Oreochromis niloticus: one gene and its partner. Each later gene encodes a partner of the first gene's protein in a complex. Links are inferred from orthologs where the notes say so. Each region holds a gene or a part of one and is shown in the gene's direction. Other genes may lie near its edges. The genes, in order: phf2 and vrk1.

What was found.
Region 2: the proteins of phf2 (region 1) and vrk1 are in contact, whole or in part, in a crystal structure (PDB 8F8Y), measured with the Homo sapiens proteins. The link is inferred for Oreochromis niloticus from reciprocal best matches to the Homo sapiens genes PHF2 and VRK1. Residues at the interface, in NP_005383.3 of Homo sapiens: Tyr7, Tyr14, Val16, Thr17, Arg18, Phe19, Met20, Ile21, Glu22, Trp29, Glu39, Ala42, Ile45, Asp46, Tyr48, Lys64, Tyr145, Ser147, Glu150, Lys175, Val178, Asp179, Tyr182, Ser183, Thr184; in NP_003375.1 of Homo sapiens: Pro2, Arg3, Val4, Lys5, Ala6, Ala7, Gln8.

What each region holds. Positions count from the first base shown.
Region 1 is NC_031970.2:37,167,263-37,184,134, forward strand, and holds the start of phf2 (lysine-specific demethylase phf2), read left to right. Parts: upstream 1-9,759; 5' UTR 9,760-10,138; coding exon 10,139-10,236; intron 10,237-16,872. Other genes in the region: constitutive coactivator of PPAR-gamma-like protein 1 homolog, read left to right, coding at 790-988, 1,101-1,239, 1,677-1,773, 5,262-5,579. UniProt on the Homo sapiens protein: Lysine demethylase that demethylates both histones and non-histone proteins. Enzymatically inactive by itself, and becomes active following phosphorylation by PKA: forms a complex with ARID5B and mediates demethylation of methylated ARID5B.
Region 2 is NC_031983.2:1,340,198-1,356,423, forward strand, and holds the start of vrk1 (serine/threonine-protein kinase VRK1), read left to right. Parts: upstream 1-9,646; 5' UTR 9,647-9,796; intron 9,797-10,290; coding exon 10,291-10,450; intron 10,451-10,639; coding exon 10,640-10,695; intron 10,696-11,858; coding exon 11,859-11,928; intron 11,929-12,482; coding exon 12,483-12,570; intron 12,571-13,334; coding exon 13,335-13,443; intron 13,444-14,384; coding exon 14,385-14,477; intron 14,478-15,093; coding exon 15,094-15,226; intron 15,227-15,648; coding exon 15,649-15,769; intron 15,770-15,913; coding exon 15,914-15,996; intron 15,997-16,226. Other genes in the region: si:dkey-288a3.2 (protein phosphatase 1 regulatory subunit 37), read right to left, coding at 411-511, 1,495-1,657. UniProt on the Homo sapiens protein: Serine/threonine kinase involved in the regulation of key cellular processes including the cell cycle, nuclear condensation, transcription regulation, and DNA damage response.

The sequences.
Region 1 (16,872 bases):
GAAATTGGATGAGAAGATTGAGCAGCTTTTGCCTGGTTTGAGCCTCGATGTCTGTTGTGACATTTTGGATGCTAAAATCAGTATTTGGTGTTAGCAGCATGAAAGCCTGGATCCATCCTGCCCCGTATTAGCAGTTGAGGCAGCTGCTGGTGGTGTGTGGACATATTTTCAGCATCATTTAAATATCGCGGCCTACCTGAGTATTGTTGCTGACTACATTCATTTTGATGGCTCCTTCAAGCAGTATAAAGCACCAGTGTCACAAAGCTCCTATAATTCCAAACTGGTTTCTTGAACAGGACGATGAGTTCACTGTACTCAAATGGCCTGGACAGTCACCAGAACAGAGCAGCTTTCGAGTGTGGTGGCAGTCTTTTGAGTGCCTAAAAATAGGGAACTGACTAAATATAAGGTGCCTGAGATTAAAGGTAGTCTGCACACATATCATTAATCTTTAAAATTGCATATTTTGTTTAACGCATTCTTAAAAATTTTAAGGCTGTTCCTGTTGTTCTGTTGAAACTGCTGTTGAGCACCTGTTGTCCCAGATCTCATGAATCAAGGTGATTTTTACCATTTTACCGTGATTTAATCAGACACTGAACATTTTCTTGTCAGACGGCGAGCACAGGAGCTGATCTAATGAAGCTGTTAAAGGGAGGCACCGTGTTTAACTGACAGCAGTGTGATATTGATTTTGTAGCTGCTGATTCAAGAGGCTGATGACTGCACAGAAAAACAAGAGCTCTCTATGTTAAGCCAGTACTTGTGTGATATCTCTCTCTTCAGGCTGAGCTGGCGGCCAGGGTGGAAAAGATGCGTCAGAGTATCCTGGAAGGTCTCAACTTTGCTCGGCCACCTCATCTGCCTCCGTTCCCCCCACCGCCACCTCTGCCTCCTCACGGGATGCCTTTCTACCCTCCCACTGGTTATTTCTACAACCCGCCACCAATGACGCCTCCTGCAGGGAGAGGCAGGGGGGTGCCCGGTGAGTTCTGTTCTTTAAAACATGTAGCCCAGTTTAAGGTCATTTCTCACAAGTCTTCAGAAACAAAGCCTAGTCTTAACATTTGATGCCAACTGCTCGCTATTTCTGTAAGGATTTGAAGCAGTCCAAACACAAGGTGGGAAGCTGGAGATCGCCGGCACTGTGGTGGGTCAGTGGTCTGGTACACGACGCAGCCGAGGAAGAGGAGGCATCCCTCTCCAGGTGGTGTCTGTCGGTGGACCAAACAGAGGGTAACGGGAGAAAGATCGAACGTCTCACTCATATTACTTTGAGAACAGACTTTTCCACCATTTACGTGACACGAGCAAGCTTTCAAACTAAGAAAACAGCACTTTCTTCTGACCTCTTTTTACCACTGCAGAGAATGAAACAGTATCATTCACATCAGCATATCGCGCCCATAGTGAATTAATACGGCTCGATGCATGAATCATTCAAACTCACACATTTTTCTAGACCTTTCAGATCTGAACTTTATGTGTTAAAAGATCAGGTTTCTTTGTAATACACTTTATGATTGGTCCTAATGTATGTGAAGCACATAAATTCTAAGCCTTCCTTTCTATAAGCACATGTAAAAACTACTTGTTTTTCACGTAGAGATTCAAAATGTGGCAAAAACAGCAAATTAAAATGAATCTACAGTGGAAATGTCTGTTTCTTGCAGTCGTCCAAGAGGCGTGATTTCTACACCGCTCATAAGGACGTTTGATCGGGGAGGACGGTACCATGCCCGAACCTTCAAGAGCCAGGGAACGTACCTGGTAAGTCAGTCATGATTTTATTTTATTTGGAGGGACTGCGCAGAATAAAACATTATCTATGAAAGAAACAATAACACTGCTCTGGATTCATGATTCCATCGATCCAGACAGGATCCCCAGCACAACAGACAGACACTAACTGTTGTACAGTTATATTTGGACACTGACACCTGTTTACTGAAACATGTTCCAGCTATAGTTATATTATCGACATAATGTGCAGACTCTCAGCATTTGAGGGTATCCACATTCAAATTGGATGAAGGGTTTAGGAGTTTCAGCTCCTTAACATGTGCCACCCTCTTTTTAAAGGGACCAAATGTAATTGGACAGTTGACTCAAAGAGCTATTTCACTGGCGGTTGTGGGCATTTCCTTTGTCATGTCATTATCAGTTAAGCAGATAAAAGGCCTGGAGTTGAAGAAAAAAAACAAAAGTATGGAGAAGGTGTGGAACAGCTCATGATCCAAAGCATACCGCATCATCTGTAAAACACAGCAGAGGCAGTGTGCATGGCTGTTAGTGGCACTGGGACACTAGTGTTTACTGATGATGTAGCACAGGAGGATACAGAGGGGTTCAGACACGTACTGTCTGCTCAAATCCAGCTAAATGGAGTCAAATTGATTGGGCAGCGTTTCATAACACAGATTTACAATGACCCAAACATACAGCCAAATCAACCCAGGAGTTTATTAAAGTAAAGGAGTGGAATATTCTTGAATGGCCGAGTCAGTCACCTGATCTTAACCCAACAGAGTATTTCACTTGCTGAAGACTAAACTTCAGACACAAAGGCTCGCAAACAAGACAGCAACTGAAAGCCGCTGCAGTAACAGCAACAGAGCATTAAAAAGGAGGAAGCCCAACATCTGAGTTCATCCATGAGTTCAAGACTTCAGGCTGTCATTGCCAGCAAAGAGTTTTCAACCAAGTGCTAGAAATGAACATTTTATTTTCAGTTATTCAATCTGTCCTGTTGCTTTTGAGCATCTGAAATGAAGGGATTGTGTTAAGATCTTTTTGTTCAACCCACTGAATTAAAGCTGAAGGTCAGCACTTCATCATTGTGGTAATGTACAGAACCACAATTAGAAAAAAAGTTTTCTGTCCAAATATGTATGGACCTAACGGTTCCCCTCTGACCTCCATACATACAGGCAGCGATTTGAGGCCAAAATTTCACATTTCATTCATCACTCCATCAGACCTGTTGCCACATTTTCAGTCCAGCTCTTGTGTAATGTGGCAAAGCCCAGCATTTCGTCCTGTTTCCTTTAATTAAGAATGGCTTCTTGACAGCCACCCTTCTGCTGAGGCCACTGTCAGGCCACTGCTAGATCTCTGTCTGCTTTCAGTTTTCTCATCTTTTTGAAGGACACACTGCACTACAGTCCAGTGTAAAGGTTTGTTTATGAGTTTGAAACCTGAATGTTTACATTAATAAGTAATTGTGTTAATCTAGTTTAAAATACTGACCAAAGCAATAGTGACTAACCCCTAAACCCACTTTTGCCATCATTGGTTATTGACCATCATCGACCATTTGAAGCTTTAATCTTCAAGATGATCATTAGTGTCTGAAATTCTCACAGTGTTTGTCACACGTGGATTTTGGTACCAGAGAAATTAATAATCCCTAAATTGAAGCTCAGCCTGTAGTTTGCTTTCCCAGGAAGGTACCTCACAAAAATCCCGATGCAGCTGTTGGTTTTTCCACTGTTTAATTATGGTGCAAAACCAGAACACAACCATTGTGTGAGCTTTCAGCATGGGAACATGAGAGGGAACTAAACAGGCTCCCTGCATGTCTCTGGGCTTCATTTTGCTGCTAATTAACTTCTAAATAACTCTTGAGTCCTTTTGTTTGTTGGCAGGACTTCCAACCCACAAATGCATTTCGCTATGCTGCACATGATTTTCAAAGAGTCCTGACTTTTGTAACATGTGGGTCTTAATAAGCTCTAAATGTCCTCTTCTACTGTATCACACCATTGAAAACACACGAGTTAATTACATTGTTTCGGTGTTTCTCAATGTTTCAGATATTTTCTGACCTATGAAGGTCATCACTTTGTGTGCACAGTGCCTTCTGCCATCTAACATCTACTACCATCATTTCTACCAGTATAAAAAAGGCTGTATTTGACTGTTATCATCTAAAAGAAACAATGGCAGTGATATTTTCTGTCTGATATTTTCTGAGTAAAGAGTAGAAAAATGCTGAAATAAAATGACAATCTTCTGAAGACCAACAAATCTGTTTTCAGCACTTCTGTTGTTGAAGTTTATGCATGTAGTCCAAGTACTCACAAAAACTGCTGATTTCTTTTAGATATCTTCTCTATCTTATAGTTTGCGTTTTGCTCTTGGTCTCTCTTTTGGCTGCTCCCTTTAGGGGGCGCCATAGCCAATCACCTGCTTCCATCTCAGCCTGTCCGTATCATTCTGCTCCTGTCACACCACCGCGCTGTATGTCCTCCTTCACTTCCTGAACTGTCACTCCCGATGAAAATCTTAATGTCTTCAGCTTGGCCTCCTGTCTTTTTGTCAGGGCCACTGTCTCCAAAATCGATCTTCCTCACCTCTCTTGGTCTCTCTGTACTCCATATTTCTCTCTCCAGCCGTGGCAGATGGCTGTTTGTCTGCAGTCTAGTTCTGTTAGAGACCACTTTCTGTTAAAAGGGAGTTTTTCCTCCCTACCTTTGCCATGTGCAGGTGATCATTGGATTGCTCCCTCTCTTAATATTATAGGCTCTTCTTTAGATGACCATTGGTGTGAACAGGCACTATATAAATCCAGTATAAACAACAATGGTGAGATGTTTTTTTAACCTACCAAACTAAGAAATCTACAGCTTTTAAAAAATATCATATTATAGCTGATGACCATCACACCACAGGCTCTACTTGCTTAATCTATTTGAAAGCAGTTTATAGTATTTAAACCTTTCTCAATATGGAGATGTTTCACGTGGTTAGAGCCATTGGACTGTGCAAAACTTAACAGCTTGCTTCATTTCACAAGTGTCAGTGTGCATCATTGACAACACGTTAGGCAAAATACAATATATAAACACGGGTTGACTTCACTTTTGAAGCAGTCAGATTATGTACCTCAGTTATTTCTATCCGTTTAGTCTGTAAGAGTCTAAAGATCAAAGAACCAAATGGCTGTTTTTTCCTAAAAGATTTTAAGTCACTGTAGCCAATCGTGTTCCCTTTCTAGCTTTGCTATATTTTATGCAAGCTACATGACTGCGAGCTGCTGAGCTTTCTCTTCTAGCATAACTAGTTTAAGTTGCAGACAGTGTTACCTTTCAGATGGAGTGTAATCCATGCATTTTGTCCCTACACTTCTCCTGTTTAGAGCTTTGCCTTTTGGACATGTTGCATAGGCAGCATGTCCAAATGGCAATAAATAGAAAAAAATGGGTGGATGATAAAGTCTGCAACCCTCACCGTCATTTTTTCTGTCTGTCTACCAGAGCAAGCCTGCTTACAAGCCTGCTCAAACATCTGGAAACAACCTAGTGAAGGACCAAAAGAAGCCCAAGCAGGAGGAAAAGAAATCCTCCCCTGCACAGCACGGTGAGAGCTTAGCCATGGAGAACGGTGTGGAGGACAAGGAGCCAGAGCAGCTGAATGGAGAGAGAGAGGAATGTGGGGCTCTCATCCAACCTGAAAGTGCCTTTAGCAGTGACTCCAAGACGTGCAATACTAATCCTCACTTAAATGCACTAAATGTAGACAGTGGCTGCCATAGAGATGAAGGTCTAGAGGCCACTGTCTCAACAGAAGATTAAACCTATTTTTCTAGAGAGGGTGAAGGATGAAACATGGAGCAAGGTTAGGAACACATGGAAATATGGAAAGCTTACATTCATTGTACTTTTTTCTTTTCACACAAAGAAACGAGATGTAATTCGGATCCCTCTCTCTAAACACACGAGATCCTAACACCGGTAACGTGGAGTCACTCACTCCCTTGTCACTTCAAATCAGAAGGTTACTGCTTGAAGACGCTTTAATTTGAAAATATGAGTTCATCTATGTTTGACCTGCTTCTAGTACTTACCGTGTTGCAGGTATGGATTTTGTGTTATCATTGTAACCGCTCAGTGAAACAAGTGAGGCATAATCTTGTGCTTCCATCACCACTTTGAGTTGTGTTCATGTTTAAACAGCTCTGTCCCTCACTAGACATGAGCTTCGCGCTGTTTCGCTTATTTAACTGTAAGTAACGCCTCGAGAAACAGCTCTCGAATCACACACGCAAAAAAAGAAAACTTGAATTGGGGTTTTGAGCTGTACTCGAAGATGTAGAGCTGTAGTGTTACCACTTTGATAGAAATCTTCTGCATGGTTCGCAGTCTAACCAGTGTGTAGTTATTATGCATGCTGTCCTTTTTCTTCCATTCTTCCCGGTGCCCAATTACAAATTAATGAAACGTCTAATACCAACAAAAGTCCAAAAAAGTAGTTGTTCTAACCTGGAATCTTCTTGTGATATTGACCTCTGTTGCATTAAAAAAAAAAAGTTATTTAGCCACTTTGGAGTAGTGTATTCATACTATATTGTTCTGTTACTCTTTCCTGTTTTAGTCAAAAAAATGAAGCTCACCCTTTGTGTAGCTAAAAGGCAGCGTGCTCCACCTTTAAATCAAAACTTTGGCCATTAACCAGTAATCATTAGGGAGATTTCCTTTAGTGTTATTTATACACTTGTAATTCCTCTTCACCAGAATCATCATTTCATGTTTTCACTTAATACTGCCAAAGCTTTTCATCTACCACTAGTGATTGGAGAAATGGTGTAATCTCCTCCCCCAGTCCCCCTCGCAAGAGCTAAATGGGTTACCTTCTGTGTAAGTTGATCAGAGTTTCCGCCTAACTCTTGGATTGTAAAAGAATGAACTGCTGATGGGTTTGGTTGAATGTTCGTAGATTTTGGTGTGGTGTACTTGAAAGCAACTTAGCTACAATGCTTAATAAAACTATATTCTTTTAGTACACACTGTTGGTGGTTTATTGATCTCTCTTAACACTGGGACATGTAGTCATAACAATGTGGTGGGCTGCTAACTTTGCAAGAATTTTTATTTTTTTATATCCAAATGACAGTCAAAAGAAAGATTCTGCACCTACACCCATTGCCTGTCTTCTGCGAGGCTAAGCAGATACAGTGCAAAAGCTAGCAAGCTAGTGGCACAAGAATAGTGGTGCAATATCACACTTCTTACTCCCCCACCTCCCAACATCATAGGAGGGAAGAGAGCTGGGTACCACAGAGAGAATGGATGATGCCCAGGATGAAGCTGCCTATTGTACTTTACCTTATTATCTATCATACATATACTGTCCTGCAGTGGATGATCATATTAAACATGGCCAAAGTTTCAAATAATAAGGTCAGTGTATTTACCATGTGATCCAAAAATGCCCACAATATTAGAAAGTGAACAGAGAGTGAGCACTTGGCAACTGTGGGGAGGAAGAACTCCCTTTTAACAGGAAGAAACCTCTGTCAGAAATAGACCTGGGGAGGTGCAGCCGTATGCTGCAACTACTTGTTGGGTGAAAGAGAAGAGACCGCAAACTGTGGTCATCTCCCACACAGCTCTGTGTGTCAAACAAAGTTGTCATTCAGTCTTTAAGTGATGACCTGATGAATCCTGCTTCCGGGTCCAAACTACTCTGCATTTATTAAGGCTGATGTGTTTTTAACATGTGTTAAAGCTTTGTATCTTGTTCTATTTAATCTGAACCAAGCCCCTAAAAAAAGTCAGTGATCACTGTCGGTCTCTCTCGGTTTTTATTATCACTATTCATCTGCAGCATGTTTTAAACCTCAGTTTTTAAAACCTTCCGATGTAACTACAGCCCAGCCCATGCAGCAGTATATTAATGACTAACCTGGTATTGTGGATGGATTATCTCAGTTGTTCTCCTGACTGAAGTTTGGTCCGTTTACAGCATCCTGCCATGCGATTGCATTTGTCCCTAACCATCGGGAACCCTCACGTTAACTTTTATCGAATGGAAAAAAGTTGGCGTTCATCCTCCAGCTTCACTGTGTTTATGTTATGTTAACCATAGCTGTGTAGCTAGCCACCACATAGCACATCATTATATACCATCAGTATATAATAGCAGAGCTGTCTGTTTGAATTGTTTCTGAAATCTCTCAGTCAGAACATGCTGTATCAGCTTTAGATTGAAACTAGCGAGCTAGTTTCGTGCTAACTTCTAACTCCGTTAAACTTCATGCTTTCTGTTTTCATGGATGCCTGGATGTTAAACTTTATTGTTACACCTGGTAGATCAGCCACAGTTATCATTTTATTAAAGATGAAAGAATTTAGACAGTTTTTAACTCTCTGATGCCGCAGTGTCCGTTTGACTTTGGGACCTGAAGCAGAGTTTGGACCTGGAAACGGCTAATGATGTCAGACTTAAAGACCGGATAAAGGTAGGGTGGCCTTCGAGAGAGAGAGAGAGGGAGAGAGAGAGAGAAGTTACAGCTGTAAGAAAAAGGAAGTTTTCTTTGGACTCTATGGAAAAACCTTAGTACACATCCCATGATTTAGTAGCTCGTAGAAGCACTTTAGCAAAAACAAGTAATTATTTTCTGTATGCCATTATCAGTCTCTCACATCGTTCTTGAGAAATTTTGCCCCACTCTTCTTTACAACCTTGCTTCATTTCATTGGCGTTTGATGGCATTGATTTATATACCGCTCTCTTAGGGTGCCATCACAGCATTTCAGTTTGGCTGAGTTTTTGACTTTGGGTTACTGCAACACCTTGATTCTTTTGTTTTCCAGCCATTCTGTTGCAGATTTGTGCTTGACATCACTGTATTGTTGCATGACTCAGCTTCAACCAAGCTTTAGGTTTTGGACAGACGGCCTCATATTTGATGCTTAAGCACTTTGGTATACAAAGGAGTTTATGGTCAACTCAATGTCTTCAAGGTGCCCAGTTCCTGTGACTGCACGACGAGCTCAAATCATCACCCCATCCCCACCACTGTGCTTTTCAGATGGTATGCAGTATTTATGCTGATATGCTGTGTTGGATTTTTGGGCAAACTTCTTCGCTTTGGTCTTGTCTATCCAAAGGACATTATTTCAGTAATCTTTTGGTTTCTTCAGATGCAACTTTGCAAACCAAAGCCATGTTGCCATGTTCTCTTTAGAGACAAGAGGCTTTCAGACAAGCCATAGTTGTTTGGTCTTTTTCTAAATGTAACATGTTTAACATGCTAACTGTAGCGGGGTTTTTTTGCAATTTCCCTGAAGATTACATGGTTTGATTGGGGGTGAATTTCTTCTGCTTTCATAGAGGTGAGGCTGCATAGAGAAAACTTTTTTTCACACCACTGCAAAATGGCTTGTTTAATACATAAAACCGTGCAGACCGAGATTTGGTGTCATGGACAAAACCTCATGCTGGTTTTCTATCAATCAGCCAGCAAGCGCAGTGGACTTGTGAAGAATGCAACATGTGTCTAACATGGAATCAGCTGTTCTCGTAAGTTTATAGTTCAACTACCTTATTACAAAATGTCATTTGATTTCGATTCTGTTTTGCTGAGATGATGTTGAAATATTTTTATGATTGTATTATTATTATTAATAGCAATTGTATTATTATTATTATTATTATTATTATTAAATTCCAAATACATGAAATGTAGTAAAAATAATAATAATACTAATAACAACAACAACAACTGTATTATAGAGAGGATATCATGATGTAGAGAAATAGTGTGTAATCTCGTAATAACAGATTATGTAATAATTAAACAATTATATCTTTCCTAATGGAGGCTATGAACACGGTATTTAAATTGTATTCATCGATTAACAATAAACTGTCTGGGAACAGAAAGCGTTTATTTCTCGGCATTTGAGCGTTCCACTACAGGGAAAAAACATCCGCAGGTCCATTTTAGATCGATCTTTACGCTCATTCATCGGATCTAAAGCTGCTCCCTGACGTAACTTACATTTGTTTATTTATTTACCTCGCAGCGACATCGAGACTACATTTTCTTGTGGCTCCTAATATGAGCGCTTCGGTGCCGCGCAGTCACCAGGGGGCATGCACATAGTAATAATAACAATAATAATGCATTTGAGGAAAGCCTGCTACGACGAGCCTCCATCGTTTCTAGCTCCCCGCACAAACGCCAACCCGGCCGCGGCGTGATGGAGCTGTGCGCTTAGGTTCATGTGTCCGGCGGGACTGCCCCTGGCTTTTTTTCTGGGGAAGATCATATTGGATCATATTGTTTGCAGGACGTTGTTCCTCCTGCAGCCCCCCCAGTCTATCCCGACGTAGTTGTGAATTGAACATGGCGACTGTACCAGTATATTGCATCTGCAGATTACCTTACGACGTGACCCAGTTTATGATCGAGTGCGATGCTTGCAAGGACTGGTTCCACGGCAGGTAAGTCCCGATTGTTCCCCGTACTGTATTTTGGGGCGGTTTGCATTTGTGGGAAACAAACAAAAATGGCGAGGTCTCGGTTGCGTTTGACAGCTTTGTGGCTCTCAGTCGCCCGTCTACATCTGAAGAGAGGCCGCTTGGAGAAGAAGAAGAAGGCGGAGTTATATATAGCCGACCGGGGTTGTGACATTTTTTCGCGAATAACACAAAACAGATTTCCCTTATTGGAATAAATACGGTGGTTTATGGGAGGATTTTGGTGTGAGCTTCGGCTATTAATTGCACTTAACGGCTCTTTAACATCCCCGCATAGCCCCAGCCTGCCTTCCCGTTGTAAGGAGCGGACGACAGCGGTGGAAGCCTCCGCAAACTCGCCGCTCATTTTTGTGACAAATGCTCGTCCTTCCAGACACGTTAAGGGCAACATTTCGCCCGTATTGCTGTGAAATATTCTCACATTCGAGTCGCTCCAGTTTTCACCGGCCGTGTTAACCGAGCGCGGTGGAAAATCACGACTCGAGTCCGAGCTTCCCGAACTCAGCCCCGCAGCCTTCCTGCCAGGCGGCAGCTATGGCTGACAATAGCCCGTGCTGGATGTCCTTAAGCTTCAGCAGCGGAAGGGAAATAATTATTAGTATTCGTTTGACTGGTTTGTCACTACTGTAGACTACGATTGTTAGCTCATACGTCTCCCCGAGTATAGTGCGAAACGTATCGCCCGCCGCTGCTCATCACTTTCCCTGCCGTACACACACTGTAATGGTCTCAACCAAATCCCAGTTATCATCTTTTCGTTTTTGCCTGCTGTCGTTATATCTGTTCTTACACGAGTCTGTGTCTGGACTGGCCTTTGCTTTGGGGTGTTTAGAGCTGTTCGGCTGCTCTCTGCCTGTCTTTTTGTTAACCCGTCATTTGTTAATCGCGTTTCTTTCGGTGAACAAGCCCTTCAGAGCATTGAACAGTATTTACGCGCCTGAACGTTAACCCTTTAATGTTCCTCCGCCGGCTGCCCACCGTCTGTGTCACACTGTCTAAATCATTCGAGAATTAAGGGATGGGAATAGTCCAAGACCTACAAGCCAAACCACCAGCAAAATTCATGTTTTCTCCCCACACCCCCTTTTTAACCAGAAACATCGTATTTCTGCTTCTGTTATTACCTGCATCTCACATTTTCACTTACCTGTCACATTCTGTAAGTTTTTGATCCTGATAAAAATAGAGCAACTGCATTTTTCAAACCATAAGTATATTTAAAGTGGATGTGCACACACCGTACATTGGCACTCCAATTATTCAGGCCCCTGAGGTGGACCATCATGAGGAATAAATCAGGTTATACACATCAGGTTCCCTTTAAAAATTTAACAAATGTTGGACCGCGTAATGCATTTCTTCGCAAATTAATATTAGCGATAGACCGCTGATAAATACTTGCATTTTAAAATAATATTCATGTGCATGTTCAGTTGTTAGGAGCGGATGTGTTAAGTTCACATGTATCATCAATATAATTATGATTCACAGTCTTAGCATGAGTCCACACGTCATGATGTGATGTAACAGAAACAAAATCTAATCATTATCCTCTAAGTGATCACTGAATCCTCAGGGACTTGTACACATGGTGATCCATACATGTATAGGTATCACATATACATTGGCTGTTAGAGTCAGAAACAATAGTTCTACAAAGAGCTGCAGCAGCCTAGCTTTGCCATGTCTGACAACACTCTACTTTCCTACAACCTTTATGCATTCGTTTTTATATCCTGTAGTCATTTTGGTTTGGGCCACAGTTGAGTCACTGCAGTGTTCAGGACAGCGTTTTGGAGATGCTGCTTGCAGTCATGGCACCCAGCTGTTGTTGATCAGGAAACAGTTCAAACGCTAACTGCTCCTAAAACCACACTGTCTGGTTTTCACTGTACATTTCTGTTTTATCTTCATGTTAAATGAACAAAACCAAGTTAGTTAGCCTTGGACTTGTTGAATTTTTAAAATGGCAACTTTTTTAAAAAAATCAACCTTATAATAAAAGTGCCTTTATTGAGGAAGGTACCTTTTTAGCCACTGGTTTAGTCTGTGTTAGTTCATTATTAATACTCGTGGGAGCTCAGTTTACCACCTGGCTTCAGTCTCACTGCACTTATCAACCCTTTATACAAAAAGCAAGCAGCTGTTTTCAACAAATAAGCTACAATAAACCCACAGTTAGTGACAAAGCTAGCTGGTGATGCCTTATCCAAAAAGCAGTAGTTGGAATATTTTTCTCAGGAGATGGTGACCAGTTGTTAGATAAAAGAGAAAAAAAAGTAAAAATAAAGATTTAGAACACATGTTGTTACAGTGAAAAATAACTGGTTCAAACCTCAGTTAGGTCCTTTCTGTTTACAGTTTGTATCTTTGCACTGTGCTTGCATGGGTTTTCTTACCCATGGATGTGAACTAGACGAGTGTTCAAGTATGTAGAATAAAAGAATACCAACATTCTGAAAATGCAACATGCCCACCAGCACAGAAAAAACAACACACTGAACAGCAAAAACTATAAGCAAAAGATTGCAACTAGTGCAGCTGCCACAATAACTCTGCCCTGACTTAATGATAAGAAGGGCCGTAAGAGTTATTTCAGGAAGTAGTTTGTGTTGTTATCACGAAATACATTTTACCACTTTGTCTGAGACACTTGTCATTGCTGTTGTAAAATCAGTTGTGATCCAAAGGCTAAAATGTTTGCAGTGGCTAACATTATATAAATGCTGAAGCTAACATGACGTAACTAATGTTGTCTTATAGGAATGTCAGTAGGCTGCCTGTCAATCATCCTAACATCTCAGTCTATGTTCTGTCAACTGAATATAATGTTAACATTTTAAACAAATGGTCTATCAACACCATGTCAGTGGCTTAAATCACTTTTTAATAAATAATTATGGCTGAAATCATCTAATTCTCTTTGTACTGGTGCTGACTACAAAATGTTTGGTATTGTGACATTCTGAGTAAGTAAGACTAATAAATGCTATATAAATATACAAGGCCATTCCTTTCCAAGACAACTGATATGTTGCTTAACACCAACATTTATGTATTTAAAGTCCGTCAAATTGTAACAAAAGCTGTCTTAACAAAATATTTGTTTTGTTTTGACTTGTTATCAGGTATTGGTAAATGATGTTTAAACTAATACTGTAATACATATTATATATTACCTTATTACAATTTTGAGCAGTTGTTCTTCTCACTTGAAAAGACGTTTGCAGTTATTTTGGCGCTGCATGAATTCACTTTATGCTTGTGGTAATTAGTAAAAAAACGTTCTTTACTTTGAATTTGTACGTTGACCAGCAGCCATGGTGAGTTAATGCGTGTGAATGAGTGAAACACTGGCATTAACCATACAGCTGCATTTACATGGTGTAGTGAAGTTGTAAATGAGCAGAGGGAAAGTAAACAGAGGACAGCCGTCTTAACTAGCGCTATTCTATTCTACTTTACGCAGTCAAACTGGAATAAGGCTAAGCAACTGAAACCAGGTGTAACCACATTCTGCACCAAGATGTGTGGACACCAGCACTGAAGAAACCAAGGCTAGGGCTGCTAGCATTGCTGGGGTTAGCTAGACTTTAAAAACTAATCTGACACTGTGTGTGTTTGCAAAGTTATACACAGCGCAAAGTGTTACATAACTGAGCGACATTTAAAACATGAATTGTTTAACAGGGAAGATAATTAATGGTTTCATATAGCCACTAAAATACACACAGTGTATTTGTTTGGACAATGTTGAACTTTGTCTATTTAAAGTGTGTTTAAACAAGTAGCAAAGCAATCAGCAGGGACATCCGTAACACATGTGTGTCTTTGGCCTACAAGAATTACTCCATGAGTGTATCGACAGGTCATCCAGAAGGTCACTTACCTCAGATAGTGTCAGTGGAGTGAAAAGACAAAAGTTTGGGTTTTGGATGTTTGGCATAAAACTAACACAGCATTTCATAAAAAGAACATCATGCGAACATCATATCAGTCATAGTGGTGGTAGTGTGATGGTAGTGTAGTTCTGCTCTTTACCAGAAAATCTAGAAGGAGAGTGTCATCAGTTCTTTCCATGAAGCTGGGTTGTGCAGCAGGACAAAGATCAAAAATACACAGTGGCTTAGTAAAAGTCCAACTTAAGTCCTGTCGACATGCTTTGCCATGACCTTAAATAGGTCCTTCATGCTTGAAAAACCTCCAATGTGGCTGAATTAAACCAACTCTACAAAGAAAAGTGAGGCAAAGCGTTGTGAAAGACTCATTGTCAGTCATTGCAAATGCTTGATTGGAGTTCTCGCTACCAATGGTTGCACAATTGGTGATGAGATATAGGAGGCATTTACTTTATCACACAGGACCAGGTAGATTTGGATATCATTTTTCCTTTAAACTGCATTTTGTATTTACTTGTGTTATCATTGTCTAATGTTTAAATTAGTATGACAATCTTAAACAAATGGAAAGAAATCAGGAAAGGGTTAGGGAAAGGAAAAGGGATATCATGTGTTTGTGTTTACAGTGGGGGAAATAGCTTTGTAAGTTTGGCCACTTATAAACACAAACAGTCTCAAATTTTATGGTATTGTCATTTTGATGGAAAGAGACAGACTAGCAACCAAAAATCCAGAAAAAAGCATGTCACATAAAAGTTATAAACTGATTTTCATGCCATTGAGTGAAATAAGTATTTGATCCAGAAGGATTGGTTGTATGCCACATGGGCACACAGATTACAATCAATCAATCAATTACAGATACTCCTGACCTCAGCTTATGTGTATAAAGCACACCTGTCCACAGAATCAATTTCTTCCATTCCAACCTCTCCACCACCAGCTCAAGACCAAAGAGCTATCAGGACATCAGGGACAAGATGTAGACCTGCACGAGCCTGGAAGCAAGACGCTTGGTGAGAAGGTGACAACTGTTGGTGCGATTATTTGACAGTGGAAGAAATATGAAATGACCATCTATTGCCCTCAGTCTGGAGCGCCATACAAGATCTTGCCTCATGAGGATGGACTGAAGTCTCTCGGTGCCTGCAAGGTTCCCCTCACTCAAGAAGGCCCATGTACACGCCTGTGAACCTGTGCCAGTGAACCTGTGCCAGTGAACCTGTGCCAGTGAACCTGTGCCAGTGAACATTTCAATGATTCAGTGCTATCAATCTAAGTACTATGGTTAGATGAAACGAACTCAGCCCATCAGCGTTGGAAGAAGAGAAATGCAGAGTATGACACAAAGAATACTATACCAACTGTCAAGTGCTTTGGGGCTGTTTTTCTGCTTAGGGCTCAGGATGACTTCACCGCATTAAGAAGTCAGTGGACGAGTCAATGTAATGTAAAGTCCTGGACGTGCACCTCCTTCCCTCTGCACTGAAGATGGGTCACAGATGGGTACTACCAAGGCAATAAAGGAGTGGCTAAAGAAGAAGCACATTAAGGTCACGGAGTGGCAGAGCTAGTCTGCAGACCTCAATCCTATAGACAATCTGTGGAGGGAGTTGAAGCTTTGAGTTGCCAAGCAGCAGCCAAGCAACCTAAAGGATTTACAGAGTCTAACACAGGAGAAGAGCGGCGAAATCCTTCCAGAGATATGTAGAAGCCTGATGACAAGACATGTTCTTACTGTTTTCACCAATTACTCTAATGCTTTTTTCACTTAATGACATGCAAATCATGTTATAACTTTTATGTAATGTGTTTTTTATGGATTTTTAAGTGGATATTTTGTCTCTCTCCATTCAAATAAAGCCACAATAAAAAATAGACTGTTCATTTCTTTGTAAGTGAGCAAACTTACAAATTCAGCAGGACATCAAATAATTATTTGCCAACTTTTTAAAAAACATTTTCTGATTAGATCTTTGTCATTGAACACAGAGCATTGAAAATGAGTTAGGAGCTTCAGCAGTGTGAAGCATAAAGTAGCATTATAAATTAAATAAAGAATGTATGGCAACTTGATAATTTAGCAACTATCTGCAGCTTCTTGAAATCTGATGAATTAATAGCAATTACTTATTAGCCAACATGATTGTATATACATGTACTTATCATATTTAATCATTCCTCCCTGCCTTGGCACACACCGACTTTACACAGCCCTCCAATGCCCTTGAAATCCATCTCTTTCCCTTTTTTTAAATGATTGAAATTTTATATATAATTGTTTTTGGCATTTTGCCTTTATTGGATAGGAACAGTGGAGATAGACAGGAAAGCGGAGAGGGAGAGAGTTGGGAAGATGCAGCAAAAGGCGCCGGGTCAGACTCAAACCTGTGCCGCTGCTTTCTGGTCATGTGGTATGTAGCAGCCTGCTGACCCACTAAGCTAAACTGGTGCCCAAATGGTTGCAGTTTTCCTCAGAGCAAACAAGTCTCAAGACTAAAAGCAGGTTTTGATGACTTTGAGCTTTATTTAACTTATTGAAATATATAACATGCCCTGCAGCAAATCTGCAATTTGTTGGACGATGTTCAGTGTGACTTATTATATGGAACAAGACACAAAATATTATTCTGCTTATTAGATAGATGTTATCCTCACGGCGGCAGACACTTTACCTAATAAAAATATATGTTTATATATT
Region 2 (16,226 bases), on another chromosome or scaffold:
CCTGGGCCTCAAACACAAGTATATTACAGGGCACGCTGGCTTCACTGACACTTAGAGTGTCTGCAGGGCTTGACCAGGAGCTGGGGTGTCAAAGATAAGATAAGATAAGATAAGATAAGATAAGATAAGATAAGATAAGATAAGATAAGATAAGATAAACCTTTATTAGTCCCACACGTGAGAAATTTGTTTGGTCACGGCAGAAAGTGGGCAGTCAAAGTTAAGAGCAGCAAAAATCAAGAAAAACAATAGAATAGAATAAAATAGAATAACACTATAAAAACAGACAGACAGCTCTGCTAGATTCAAAGATGAAAACAGACACACAAGAGTGTAACAACAGAACCAACAAAGACACGTGTCTGCTGCATTTGACTGAATCCATCAGGAGCTGACGTGAGGCTGCATACCTGGAGCTGCTGCAGGATGCGCTCCCTGGGCTGCACCTGATGTCTGCTGCAGCTGTCCTGATAGGCCAGCGACACCTCTGTGAAGGTGAGTCTGCTGTCAGCTGAAACAGGAGAATCTGCTCATTCACTGCCTTAATGTCTCTGCATTCAGTGAGCAAAAGCAACCATTCAAAAGTACTTAAGCTAAGTCTCTCTCTGTGTGTGTGTGTGTGTGTGTGTGTGCGTGTGTGTGTGTGTGTGCGTGTGTGTGTGTGAGTGTGTGTGTGTGTGTGAGTGTGTGAGTGTGTGTGTGTGAGTGTGTGTACTGCAGGGAACTGTCAGTGAGAAGGACATGAATATCACTCTCTGAATGATCAATCAACCAATGACGTATCTTAATGCATCAAGCACAGCTTTATATCCAGCTGACGTGAGAGACAAAATTTGATTCTTCACTGAGGTCTGAGTGTGCACAGGTAATCCCTGTGGATACCCCTAATGTGGATGCACCAAGTATAGGTAAGTCAAAACTACTGTGTGGAGTCCAGGGGAAATATGGAGGAACATGAACACAGAAAGTCCCCATTAAAATGGCTTCAAAATAATGATAAATAAAGAAAAAAAGCAGGTGTTACTAATGCTTTTCTTCACAGCAGCAAACAGAGGCATGTAGGAAAATATTCAAATATTATTTTCCTGCAAAATCCCTCAAATTATTTTTATAATACATGTTATAATCCCTAAAATTATTGTTATAAATAATACATTGAGTTGGTGACTGGATTTCAGTTCAGCTTTTCTGCTACATGTTTGATGCTTTTTCAAGGACAGAATAAGAGTAACTTGTTAACATGATGTAAGGTGCATCTATTTAACAAATACGTTCAAATCGTTGATTCAAAATCTCAAATATGATCCAAAATTCTTTAATTTACTTCTTTTAGTGAAATCATGGGTTGATCACGTCATTTAAATGTTAAGATGCTAAAATAACATGTAGTGGACATTTTTAATGAGATGTTAAGAGCTTAAATCAGGTTTGGAAGTGAGAACTACACTTCCACCATCACTGAACGTCATCCATGACACTTGCACAGCAGCTTACCCAGTTTCTCAGCGTTCCCATGCTCAGCAAAGCTGGACACTAGCTGTTCGTCCGGAGGGAAGCACACATGCTTTCCTCCTTTACTTGTCCTCTTTGGTTTCATTCTGGGCTGTCCTGAGCTGTCATCGTTCTGCTCATCATCATCATCACTGCAGTTGGTCATCGCCTCTCTTTACTTTAGGACTGCAGCATGGAGCGCTCTATTGTAATAGAAGGCCAATGGTTAGTCCAGCGCCGGTCACGTTACATGCTATCCATGGAGCTGTGACAGCAGCTACTGAAGTACTTCTGGTAATATAAAAGAGTGAAGTAGTGACGATGTACCCTCGTGAACGTGAAACGTCTTCAGTCTGTGGCGCTCGGAAACACAAGACACTGAAGAACCAATATCTTATTCATGAGCTGTGCACTGTTACCCAATATGTTTGGATCAAATGACACACTGAAAACAGGTAAGGCTCTGCACATTTACATACCTATTCAGATTCATTTACAAAATTCAGGGTTGTTCTGGATAAGACAAACACAGGTAAGTTACCGAGGTAACCACGTTTGATCAAATATTCTTAGTTATCTAAATACTTTGGTTGAGTTTCCCACTGAAGTGTCTGTCTCTGTAAACTGTCTGATAATGTTTAAAAGACAGAATAAAACAAACAAAGAACAGAAGCAGCAGTTTGTGGAGACAGTTCAGAGACAACAGTCTGGTGTATCACAGCCAACCTGACACAACACACTGCAACAGCCACTGAAACACGTGAAACCTTCGTCTCTACAGCAGCCCCCACTAAGCTTCTCTAATGATGGTTTTTCAAGGGTTACAGTTACAAGAATGAACTTTTCATTGGAGTAATTTTTTCTTACAGAGAACATTTCTTAGAAACACACAATTCTCTTAATAGAATTGCAAATAAACAGCTAAAGTGCAGCAGCCACTCTAATTATTGTGCTAAGTACAGTAAAGTGTGACAGAGCTACAGCACAACAATCTGTCAAGGACCTGGACAGAGCATAACTGTAGAACAGGCCAACTCACCCTAAACACCAACAAAACAAGAATGGATGCCCCTCCCCTCTCCATAAAAGTGACTATGTGGAGAGGGTATCCTCTATTAAGTTCCTCGGCACCCACATATCTGAGGACCTATCTTGGACCACAAACACATCAGCCCTGGTGAAGCTTCTTCTACTGTGTGGTACACTGGTTGCACAACAGCTGACAAGAAGAGACTACAGAGGGTCATAAGAACTGTAGAGAAGGTGATTGGCTGTCCACTCTCCTACCTGGACTTAATTTCCAGCTCAAGATGTCTCTCCAGAGCCAGAGCAATTATAAAGGACCACCTCCATCCTAACCACCACCTCTTCAACATCCTACCTCTGGAAAAAGGTTCAGATCCATCAGGTGCAAAACCAACAGACTAAAGAACAGCTTCTTCCCGGGAAGGGACCGGTCCCCTCCAACTACCAACCAATAACCTGCCTCAGCATCACATGGAAGCTCCTGTCAGGCATCATAGCGGCTAAGATGAACAGGCACATGGCTCAATACATGAATGGGGCACAGAAAGGGATGGGCAAGAATACCAGAGGCGCAAAACACCAGCTACTGAGGGCGGTGCACCGTTGGTTGGACCAATCGGAGTCTACGCTGCGGGACTGTTTTGATCACGCGGACTGGGAAATGTTTCACGTGGCTGCTAATGACATTGATGAGTACACGGACTCAGTCTGCGGATTTATCAGAAAATGCGTGGAAGATGTCGTCCCATCCAGAACAGTTAAATCCTTCCCAAATCAAAAACCCTGGATTAACAGAGATGTTCGCACGGCACTGGCAGCACGGAGCTCCGCCTTTGCCTCCGCGAACACATCGGACTACAAACACGCACATTACCAACTCCGGAAGACGATCAAAGCAGCCAAACATGAGTACAGGGACAGGGTGGAGCAACAGTTTGACAAATGCGACCGCTCTTGACGAAGGCGGTCGCATTTTTCTCCTCTCCTCCTCCTCCTCTCCCTTAGCTTCCCTGCTTAGCCTCTTATGTCCTTGTCTAGTCTTGTGTTTTTTGTATGACTTTTCCCTGGAACAATCTCTCACAGTCTGTTTTCTAAAACCTAAAAGAGGAATTATGGATTTGATCAACTGGTCTCTGAATGCAATTGACACCCCTTTCTTAACGAGAAGTTTGGGCTTGGGTGAGCCTGACTGCTGAAGATTTCTACCTATTCGGAACCATGATAACAGGGTTCTTGCTGATCGGAGCTGGCTTGGCCCTGGCTTATCGAAGAATTAAGGAAGCGGAACCGGCTGTTCAAACCCCCACAAGGCTGCCCGCTGGGATTGAAATGATGGGACGAGGCGTGAGTTTCTCAAAATGGGCTCATTGAGTGCAGCACGGATAAGATCTTGGAAAGGCTACGGCTGCTGTGAATACTCAGAATAAGATCTCTGAGTGCAGACTGGATTACATCTCGGAAGGGCTCGCTCGGCATAACATCTCTGAGCGTAAATTGGATGACATCTCGGGGAGGCACACTGTCGTGAGTTTTTCAGAATCGGCTCCTTGAGCACAAGAATGACAACCTCACAGAACGCAAGTATGGCGAAGCTCGCGGCTCTCCAACGGGAGATTGAGAGACCAGTGTTGGACTGTAGAACTGCTTTGAAATTCATATGAGTTGTTCGCACTAAAGTAAAAAGCACCTTCACTTCATGCGGATACCTTCTCAGCGCCAGCTGCGGTTGCAAGGCTGGAGCTGTACAACAACACCCTGATTACAGACTATGTTTAGTCTGTTCCTTCCTATCCTATGCAAGGCCACCTGGGTTGGCTGGAAGACTGTTTACTTAGCCTGGCAGGGCGAAGGACACTGTCTCAGCTGAACTCTGGACACGCACACACATACATATACACTGATATGCACACACTCATCCCCCCTCCCTTTCCAAACGCCTTCGACGCTTATTCCCTTCCGATGCTGACGGTGGATCATGGAGACCAGCGCATAGGCTGCAGGCCCGGATGTACTGTCTACATTGGCTGTCTCTCACCCTTTACCCACCCCTGTTGCTTGTCATGTGTTTCTTTGGTGTATTAAGAGTTTTTTCATGTGCAGAGGTGTTTTTTTCTGTTCTCAAACTGATCTCCCTGTTGGAGCTCAGTCTGGGGGGAGTTATTTTTTTCTCCTTATCTTTCCTCATGTTGTGCTTTTCCATGTATACCTCTCTGACCTGTCTTCCCCATGTGATGTTTTGTGTAATGTATGTATGGTCGGAGGGTAAGATGGCGCCGCCATTGCGTGCAATAGGTCGGCAGCCTTATGAAATTTCCCCCTTGTGGGACTAATAAAGGTATATCAATTCAATCAATCAATTCAATTCAATTCAACCCTCGGAGTATGTGGCAGGGACTAAACACAATCGCAGACTTTAGAGGGAAAACCAGCACACCGCAGACCACGGCCTCTCTGTGTGAGGATCTAAACGTATTCTACACTAGATTCAACACAGCGAACACCATGAGACCGGACAGTGTGCGCACCGCGGATGACGTCAGTGCACACACTGTGTCTGAGGAGGATGTGCGGAAGTGCTTCAGGAAGGTGAACGCACGCAAAGCTACTGGTCCGGATGGGATCCCCGGCCGCGTCCTCAAGTCATGCGCGGCTCAGCTGGCTGGAGTGTTTACACACATCTTCAACCTTTCCCTCTCTCTGTCTGTAGTCCCAGCCTGCTTCTAAATGGCCACCATCGTCCCTGTACCCAAATCCTCCACCATCTCATCATTGAACGACTGGCGACTTGTAGCCCTGACCCCCATCGTGAGCAAATGCTTCGAGAAGCTGATCAGGGATTTTGTTTGCTCTTCACTACCCAACTCACTGGACCCTCTACAATTCGCATACCACCACAACAGGTCCACTGATGATGCCATAGCCCTGACACTCCATGCTGCCCTGTCACACCTGGAGAAGAGAGACACGTATGTGAGAATGCTGTTTGTAGATTACAGCTCAGCATTCAACACCATCGTTCCCTCGAAGCTGGACAGGAAACTGCAGGATCTAGGACTGAGCAGCTCCCTCTGCAGCTGGATCCTTAACTTCCTGACTGACAGATGCCAAGTAGTCAGACTGGGCAGCATCACCTCATCCCCCATCACACTGAACACTGGTGCTCCACAGGGGTGTGTACTGAGCCCTCTCCTGTACTCACTCTACACCTACGACTGCACGGCCACTAGAAACTCCAACATCATTGTGAAGTTTGCGGACGACACTACAGTGGTGGGTCTTATCACCAACGGTGATGAGACGGCCTACAGGGAGGAGGTCAGCGCCCTGACCCACTGGTGTCAAGACAACCATCTCACCCTCAACGTCGCAAAGACAAAGGAGTTGATAGTGGACTTCCGGAGGTGCAGAGAAGTACACACCCCCATCACCATCAACGGCGCTGCTGTGGAGAGAGTGAGCAGCTTCCGCTTCCTTGGTGTACATCTGGCTGAGGATCTTACGTGGTCGGTACACACAAACAAAACAGTGAAGAAGGCGCAGCAGCGCCTCTTCTTTCTCAGGAGACTGAAAAGATTCGGCATGAGCCCCCGCATCCTCAGGACCTTCTATCGCTGTGCCATTGAGAGCATCCTCACTGGATGCATCACCACCTGGTACGGCAACAGCACCGCCTACAACCGCAAAGCTCTCCAGAGAGTAGTGCGGTGTGCTGAACGGATAATTGGAGGTGAGCTTCCCTCCCTCCAAGACATCTACAGGAAGCGGTGCCTGAGGAAAGCGGGGAGGATCATCAAGGACTCCAGTCACCCCAGCCATAAACTGTTCAGACTACTTCCATCAGGAAGGAGGTTCTGCAGCATCCGGTCCCGTACCAGCAGACTGAGAGACAGCTTTTTCCACCAGGCCATCAGACTGCTGAACACGTCATAGACACCTCACCCACATTCAACAACATTATGCACTCCATACTGTATATAAATGCCACTTGTTTTGTACATGTCTCAACTACCAACCTCTGTATATTTTATATATTTTATTTTATTGTTTAATCTATTTAATTTGTAAAATATGTATACACACACACACACACACACACACATGTAGAAAAACATATTTAGTATACACATCCAGTAATGGATATACTCTTATATTGTACATATATTTATTACTCTCAGATTTAGCCATTCTTATATTTTGCTTGTTCTTATGTTATTGTATTTTTGCACAACTCTGTTGCTTGTGAAGCTCGCACACAAGAATTTCACTCGCATGTACTGTACCAGTGTACCTGCACATGTGACGTGACAATAAAAGTGATTTGATTTGATTTGACTAGTAGAAAGAACAGTCAGACGAGGCTGCAAGACTAGGCTGACCAACCTGTGCTCTGCCTGGATTGATTACAAGAAGGCCTATGACTCCTCACACCTGGATCCTGGAATGCCTTCATCAGGAACTCAATGGGGATGTGACAACACTTGAGGCCAACTTCAAGCCCATAGCAGTTAGGACTGCTGCACTTCTCCACACAGGGAACTAGCAGCACTAGCAGCAGTAGCTTCTTCAGCCTGTGAGCACTTGTTACTAGTTGTTGCTGTTACTACTGTTGACGATGCAGCAGCCACGACAGATAACAAGTCACTTAATTAGACACATTTTGCTGCATCTTTTTGTAGTTTTGTCTTCTCTCTTAGCTTTTTAGTGCCACCTTTTCATTTTTGTTTGTTCATCTTTATCATCCACTTCTTCCACAGTAAAGTCTGCTATACAGGCACATAATGAAAGTAGGGGAGAGGTATTAAGACTTTTGATTGGGCGATACAGTGTCAGTAATGAAATCAATGAATGCTCTTCTTAACCAAGGAAATATGACTTTTTCCCTTCTGTTTCTCCCAGATGCCTTGCTATGATGAAGCAGTACTGGTGTAGCTGGATGTGTGGGACACAACATTATGGTGCATGGAGACAAAAGCATATATATTTAATCACTTAGGTGTAAATATATACAATCTGAACTATGAACTGCACGGCCTGTGTTTTACTCTAATATATCTGCAGTGCCTATAAACTGGGTGTGGTGAAGATGTTTTCATTATTATAAAGACAAAAAGTGATTTTGCATGACCTTTTACTGACTTAAGCAATCACAAAACTCATGGTTCTACACCTTAGGGAGTTATTGACTGCAAAGTATTACACACAAGCCCTAACATTGAACTGTTGTTGTTTTTTCCAAATACTTTTGAGGATCTGAAAATGCGGTGCTATGTATAAAAATGATGACAACACCTCAACATCAAGGTAAAAGTCTATACTTTACAAAATTAAATAAATTTACAGAATGTGTGTTTTTTTCCAAAAGCCTTCAGACTTAACTAAATGGCACAATAAGACATATTAGTCCATGGTTTGATAATAAAACAATAAGAAATTAATAACACAGCTCTGATAGTTGATCATGTACTGAAGACCTGCCCAATCGAGGATAAGCAGAAGATAATGGATGAATGGATGATGGTTCCACATTTTAAAAAAAAAGGCATTTTCTGTAAATTAACAAAAACTTTCTGCTTTATATTTACAGGACAGTCTGAGCTATCGGATCATATTTATTTATTAGAACTGAACCCACAGGAGTCATGTTGGCAGATTTCTTTCATGTACTGCAGCAGAAATGCAGAACATAGACTTGCTGTTGAAAACTTTTTCTTATATTAAGACATGTTTAAAATATTTTTATATTATATCTTTCATATATTAAGATATCGCAGGGATTAAATGTGTATTTAAACTTCTTTACAATAAACAAAAAGGACAGTTCAACGTGGGCCGTATGTGGCCTACATCGCTGTTCACACAGTAGTGAAGCAGCGACTTCCCCCGCTCCAGGTCATCCGTCGGCTCTTTGTTACTCTTTGTTACTTCGGAAACATGGCTTGAACAATTTCTCTTCCACGACGTAATCCGATAAAAAACAATCTCTTTACCCGTTGGCTTCCCATGGCTGTCATGCGACCGGCTATTGCAGTTAATAATACAACAGCTTCTTGCCATTTTTTGTGTTTTGTGACTGTTTTCATGTGAAAGCCTGCGTGCGCTAGTACCGCTTGCCTAGCATTCCCAGAATCCTTTGCGGTTTCACCCCGGAATGACGTCACATTTTCAATCTCATTGAAAATGTGTTTTCATGTGTTTTCACTGACGTCACATTTTCAATCTCATTGAAAATGTGTTTTCATGTGTTTTCACTGACGTCACATTTTCAATCTCATTGAAAATGTGTTTTCATGTGTTTTGCACCCTCTATCACCCTGGGTCAGACCGAGTTTAAAGCTGCTACCACAGCCAGATTTGATCGGTTAAGAGAGAGAGCGATATCAAAACAGCCACGAAACGTCCCGCATATATGTGCCCAAGGGTTGTATTGAAGCAATCAAGTGATGAATAACTGTTTTCCAGTATGTTGTTTTGCATTGTTGTTTTTCACCGAAACAGCTAATAAAGCATGATGGATTTTTACAATTTTGCCTCCTTCTTGTAAGATTCTATAATAGAATGAAACAATAATGCCAGTTAGAAATAAAGACAATAAATTGAATGAATTACGAAACACTCATGTTATTTCTATTAGATCTGAAAATGTTGTGTAATACTACAACCTGAAACAACAAATAGATGCGTTTGCCTGTACAGGAGATAAAGGAAAAGAATGTAACAACAGCTGTGAAATGGAATAGTCCAAATCACCAAAGTAAACTGGACCTGGGCTTGTTGCAGGGATCTGAGTTACTAAACATCATGTGAGTGTCTGCACTCACACTTAGGACCATATAATAATAAATATGTGCGTGATGAAAGTTGGGCAGCACGCTGACGTCCTTACTCCGCTCTGTATGCTGGTACGGGTCTGACCCTTTCACTCCTTTGATTTTTTCCTCGTCCTTTTTTTTGTTGTTGTCTTTTCGTCAAGTCTGTCTTTGTACGGACCTGCCGTGTTCTCCCTCGTTTTGTACATAACTGTTTTTGGGGCAAATAAAATGCTAGTAGGGATTAAAACCGCAGAATTAATGATTACCGGTGCTGGAAATGCTACCGCTTGATGCAGTGTTTTGATTTTGTTGCCACGGGTACCCAACATGCAATGCGCGAAAGTCACGTGGTCTGTCAATCTCTATAAAATAGCGCGGTACGGTGACGTAACTTCCTGACCGGTAGTTTTGCGGGAAGTTTGGTCCATGCACAGTTTCTGCTACAGGGAAGCATAAACAACGAAGTGACGGTATGTTTTTGTCATAGATGTATATATCTGTATACTAACGGAACCAATCACAGGTACTCGGGTACAGCGTTTGCTGTTGGACGGCGTCATGTAGCAGATCATGTAGGCGCTAATGTGACACACGGTTACTCACAAAACCACGCAGTTAGCATGAGAGCTAACGAGCCTCGAAAGAACCGCTAAAGGTGCAGGATTCGCACGACGCCATCACTTTACTGTTTCTCTTTCTGTTGGTTTTAACCCACATGCTAACAGGCGGTTCGTGTTAGGGAAGTGTCTCGTATAGGCTGCACACATTAGCAGGTGATGGGGAACTCGGGATGTGGTTAGCTAACTTCGGTACAGATAAAAACATAGTTCTAATGTGACCCAAAAAGTACAATTTTCCATTTCTTGTTGTGTTTACAACGATGTTTAGCTTAGTTTTATTTTGGAGTTCTGCTTCCATCACGATGAAGCAGCACTAACAACCACCGTGGCTGTGTGTGTGTTAGATGCCCCCTAAAGCCAAGGCGGCAGGCAGAGGCAGAGCCCCTGCCAAGAGGAAACTGGCAGAGGAGTTTCCTCCTGGAGAAGTGCTGAAGGACACCATGAAGAAGGAATGGAAGCTGGGGGCTCCGATCGGTCAAGGGGGCTTTGGTGTCATATACTTGGGTAAGAACACAGGATGCTAGTGACACAGTCATGGTAAAATAAAAGACAATGTTATTTGTATTTTAGTTCTAGTTAACATCTGAGTTTGAGTTGCAAACTTTATATTTAATAGAAGTTAATAAAGATTTTAAGCATGTGTCAACCAAATACTGTAAATAATGAACATATTCCCTCTTATGTTTTCCCCAGCGGAGGAAAATTCTGCAAAGCCTGTGGGTGCTGATGCTCGCTATGTCATCAAAGTGGTAGGACTAAGTTTGTTCCAGTCCAGGCATTATTACTCTTTACATACTTTTTTCTTTATTCACAGAAAAGTAGCTACAAAAGCCAACTCAACCTGAAGTACTTTGTATTTTATGACATATCAATTTTTATTCTATAACACTTCCACCTTAGTTAAGCCCATCAAAAGTTAAGACTTAATTGGCAACATAAGTTCATTGGATTAAGTCCAGAAATAATTCACATACTGACAGGACTTGTTTGACTTGCTTTTCTGCTCGAATGTGCAGACTCATCAGGCTCAAAGTCTCTCCCATTTGACTCTCTGAGAATTGTCTGATTTATTTATTTGTTCACTAACTGCAGTGATGCAGCCAGCACAGCATATATATTGAGGCCTTGACCCTGGACCTGTCAGATGGCTCTGTCCAGTTGCTGGTCACTAAAGTCTCACCAGAAGTGATCACAGTGCAAACGTTGCAGCCAATAAGGCACTTTCTGCACTGTGACTGTTTCCCTGTTTCTATTCTTAAGGAGGAGAAACGGGGAGGAAAAGCGTGGGGATGCCACATTACCCAACATCTGAACTGAAAATCAGTGGCAACATTTGAGGGAGCGATGAATCCTAATTTTACGTTTTTTGGTTCAAATCGTTGTCGAGATGTGAGGAGAGACCGGACAGAAAAGCGCCGTCAGATCCACTGTGCTGTAGCCCACTGCAGGCTCACATCTGCACGCTGCAGGTGTTGCTGTTAAAAAGTGACGTGATGGCTGTTGTGGGCCAAATGTAAAGGTCTTCCTATACAGTGTTTATTCTAACTTTAACTCTAATTATTTGTGCTGTCACTGTCTGAAACAAACTGTGGATGGAAGCTATTCAACATTTTTATTGAATATTTTAAATATTTTTATTCAAACTGCAGCACGACCGATTGGTGGGGCTGCCCTGCTCCTAACTGTCAGAGATGTAACAGTCTGTGAACCTGGATTTAAACACACAAACACATAAACACACAACCAGTTTTTGCAGTTTTGTTTGTTTGTTTGTTTGTTTGTTTGTTTTTTAAATGTTTAAACAGAAGAAAATTGTGTTTCGTTTTTTTTCCTGCCTGTTAAGGGTGAAAACAACAACCCAGTGTGCTGTTGTGGGTCTGCAGACCTAATGTACCTGTTGTTCTGTCCACAGGAGCCTATTGACAATGGACCGCTTTTCTGCGAGCTCGCATTTTACATGAGAGCTGCCAAGCCGGATCTCAGTGAGTCACATGATCAGACACTATAAATACACTCATACTGTCAGCAAACCAAAGTTAGCCCTGCGATCATAACACAAGAGTCTCACCAGCAGGGCAAACAAATAAAAAGAGAGGCAAGTTTCTTAATTAAAAGATGGTGTTGTAGCCGGGGCTCAGAGGAGCCCTACAAAGGAAAGGAAGCGTTTGGTGGCAGCGCCGCCGGCCCTCGGGCCACCGCTTTGCATTTTATATAATAACAATCCAAATGTCAGTCTCCCCTGACGATTAACTGTTATATGACTAAGGAACCAAAGCCTCATATTTTATTCATGCTGGAGTCTCACGTTGTTGGTAAATATTTGTCCCAGCAGCAGATTAGCTCGCGGCCATATTGGCCACTTTCCCCCACTGAATTATACTCTTATTACTTTGAGTCTCACATCCATCACCCACTTAAACCAGCACCAGGCTTTTCAGAGTTTACTTCCTGTGTTGTTGATTTCATGTATGCACACATTAAAAGCTCACTTTAGTCAAATATGTACGTGTCTGATAAGTTTACTCTTGCCCTGCAGTTCAGAGTTGGATGAAGTCCAAGAAGCTGAAAAACCTGGGCGTGCCCCGGTACTGGGGCTCAGGTCGACATGAGAGAGGGGGTCAAAGGTAAGGGTGGGAGTGCTGGGGACAAATCTCAGTTTGTAATGATGCAGCCCATCTCTCCTCCATCTATGTGACATTCAGTTGTTCAGGTTCTTCTTTTGTTGACATGTGAGAAATGTGTTCAAACTACAGACTCAGCAGTTATATTTGGTGCAAGCAGCTCGAGCTGTGCATCAACTCTGTGTTTGACCTTTCCTCCATGATGTTTGCATGTTGCACATTGGATGGAGTCACATGGCTACACACGCAGTTTTAAAGGAGAGGTGGGCATGATTACGCTGATTAGAGCTTCTGTTTTCCCTGCCCAGCTCAGGTCTCTGCCTTTTATAACAGACCTCACTCTGACTCATTCAGTGGATTACTTTGGCACTGCCTGATACCATGTAGTGGTTCTCAGTAGTAGCACTTATTACTGGTTTCATAAGGGAGCCCCCCCCCCCCCCCCCCCGTGGCCTAATAAGGCATCAGCTTTGGTCCCGCCTGGGTCACATAGTTAGCGCTATCGTCAGCCCTTCCATCACACCTCCTGACTTCCTCTGTGCACTTATGTAACTCAGATATTTAAGCTAATCTCCCTGTTTACACCTTTTACAACTAACTTTTTAATATTTTATTAATTTTTTTTGTGTGTTAATGTCTTAATGGAAGCTAGATAAACCAAAACACCAAATAAGAAGTAAAGTGAAACAGCTTTGTTGTCCTCACAGTAACAGGTAAAGCTGCAGCCTTTCTGACGCTCTGCTAACACAGCTCTCTGTACCAACCAGTTACAGGTTCATGGTCATCGACAGACTTGGCACAGACCTGCAGAAGAAATTTGAGGAATGTGGAAGGAGATTTCCCAGAAAGCTGGTCCTGCAGCTCGGCCTTCGACTGGTTGGTTATGTCATGATGAAGTTGTTTCAGTTTGAAACACTTACATTGTAAACAGCAGGTCACGGTGATCACAGGAAAGAGAATGTGTGATGGGGAATGACCAACATCCTGAGGATGAACGTTGTACGCAAACTGAAAATAACTGATGATGAGGATTGAATAACAAGTGGTTTCATCCTCAGAGTTAGTGATGCACAGGGGAGGAAATGGGTTTTCCCAAAAAGAAACAAAAGTGTATTTTCAGTTGTTTTAATGATTGTGGGTCAGAAGCATTCTCCGGTTCATCCTGGAATGATTGTTTCTGCTCAGGTAGAGTTTTAAAGTAAGCTGCTGAAACTGTGTGTGTAATCTGACACCGCTTTACGGAAAAGCGAACGTCATCAGCAGATTTCCTGCACCTGTGCTTCCGATCGAAAATCCTTTGTTTGCCTGAAAATGCCAACAATGAAGTAATTTGTTTACACAGTCCAGTAAGATTTGTCACAATGACACTGGATAGACTGTAAAATAGCCTTTTACTATGACTTTTTCTTGTTAGAAATCCCACGCTGCCTCTTCTTTTATAGGAGCGCGTCTCCCTGTTCGCTCTAGTTTATTAAGATCTATGTGGAGGAAGTGAAACTTTGTTTCTGGTCAGACTCACCTCTGTGCTCTCTGGTGCTCAGCCTGGCTACATTCCCCTCTAAAAATGACAAATGTTTATGTTCTGAAACTGAACGTAATGAATCAAGTTACTGTTAATAAAATCCTTCTAATGTGATCACAGGTTTGGCTTTACGTGACTGCTGCTCAGTGAGGTGATGACGGGCTGAGCAGCTTCTTGTGTGGCCAAACGGCACATTATATTTAAACCATCTAGTGTGATTACTTTGTACTAGGGTCTTGCTACATTACAGATGTATCTGTACTCTGTATTTGATGGAGTATTTGTTTCTGTGCAGCTGGATACTCTGGAGTACATCCACGAGCACGAGTACGTGCACGCTGATGTGAAGGCGTCTAACCTCATGTTGAGTCACAGCGATCCTAACCAGGTCAGTTGGAGTTGTAGCGTGCTGACTGAAACTATGACTGTTTACAAAGTGCCGCTGTGACCCGTGCATCAGCAGGAGGAGGAGCCTGGTTTTGGTTGGAACACACTCGCACCGCTTCATTAGATTCAATTAGGCTTTTGCGACGGGGGGAGGTGAAGCGAGAGTGTTCAGACGGGGGAGATTAGATGGCAGGAGCACAGAGCTGCAAATAAGGTGGGGGCAGGGGCAAATATTTAATTTGGAGATTAATAATGTATCATCGGTGGTGTTATTAAGGAGCTTTTTATAAATGACAATTTAGAAATCAGCCCCTCAGGATTTTAATATTGGCTCTGGTTGTTTTTCCTGCTCTTCCTCGGAGTTGGTGAATGTAGGTTTGCTTTTATTGCTCTACATTTCTTTATTAAAGCCACAGAGAATATAAGCACAATGCAAACTGAGGAATAATAATAAAGTGCTATGGAGCTGGAATTAGAATTGAAATCGTGTGTTCTCCTGCTCTCCTTCATCCTGACCCGTGTCTGTGTACAGTCAGTGAACACTGGTAAAACATGGATTAGTATAAAGTACTGTGTATGTGTGTGCATGCCTGAATCTTTGTGTTTGTCAACTGTAGGTTTACTTAGTAGATTATGGACTGGCCTATAGGTACGCACCTGAAGGTCGGCCCAAGGAGTACAAGGAAGACCCCAAGAAATGTCACGATGGTACCATCGAGTTCACAAGCATCGACTGCCACAAAGGAGCATGTAGGTGCAAACGTACGCGAGTAGTCATGACGCCCAACATGGCGTACAAAACCAGAGTGGTAATCTGAAAGTGTCAGCAGGATCTGGTGTTTTTAACCATGAACAGGAACATCAATGTGAACAGATTTCAAACCATTTTAGTGAGGACAGTTTGGAACAGCTGCGCTGTTTCCTGTACAGTCAGAGCACTTTAACACGGCAGTGGGCTGGGACTGACTTGCCTTTGGGGCCACAGTCGTAGTACTGAGTCTACTGTGTGTTCAGCCACAGACGTTGTTACTCAAGCTAAAGTATGCCAAAGAACAAGACTGATACTGATTGATATTCCTCATCTCATACAACATGGAAATAACCTGAATGGTATTCTGTACATAAGTGTCTGATATTGCTAATGTTGCCACGTACATCGTGTTTGCTAACAGCCGTGTCCAGGCGCAGCGACCTGGAGATCCTGTCCTACTGCATGGTTCAGTGGCTGTGTGGTCGGCTCCCCTGGGAGGACAAGTTGCAGGACCCGCTGTACGTCAGAGACTCCAAGATCCGGTATGAGAAACACAGTACCCAGCCTGGGTGCTCCACAGTCAGCAACACTTTGCCATTTATACAATTCTACAATACTTTTTTATTTTTTTACATTTTTTGTTGTGTGTTGTACAGTTCACACAGATTGATGTGTATTAAAGAAAGTTGTCTAACGTTTTCACCTGCAGGAGTCAAGAAAAACATAACAGAGTTCATGGCCAAGTGTTTCTCCTCTCAAGACAAACCAGGTGAGACAGACTCACAGCGGAGGCTCTGTGGCTACGATGGAGCAGCGCTGAGCTGTTTCACACTGATGTGCCTCACCGTATTATTCATATACTGTAGACTTTCTACACTTGTCACATCATGAATACTAATGTTTTAATCTGGTTGTGAAAACCACAATGCCCTGCATAATCCCACAGTCTGAAACTGCTGTGACCTCAAATCATATCAAGTTCATGATTAGTCGAACATT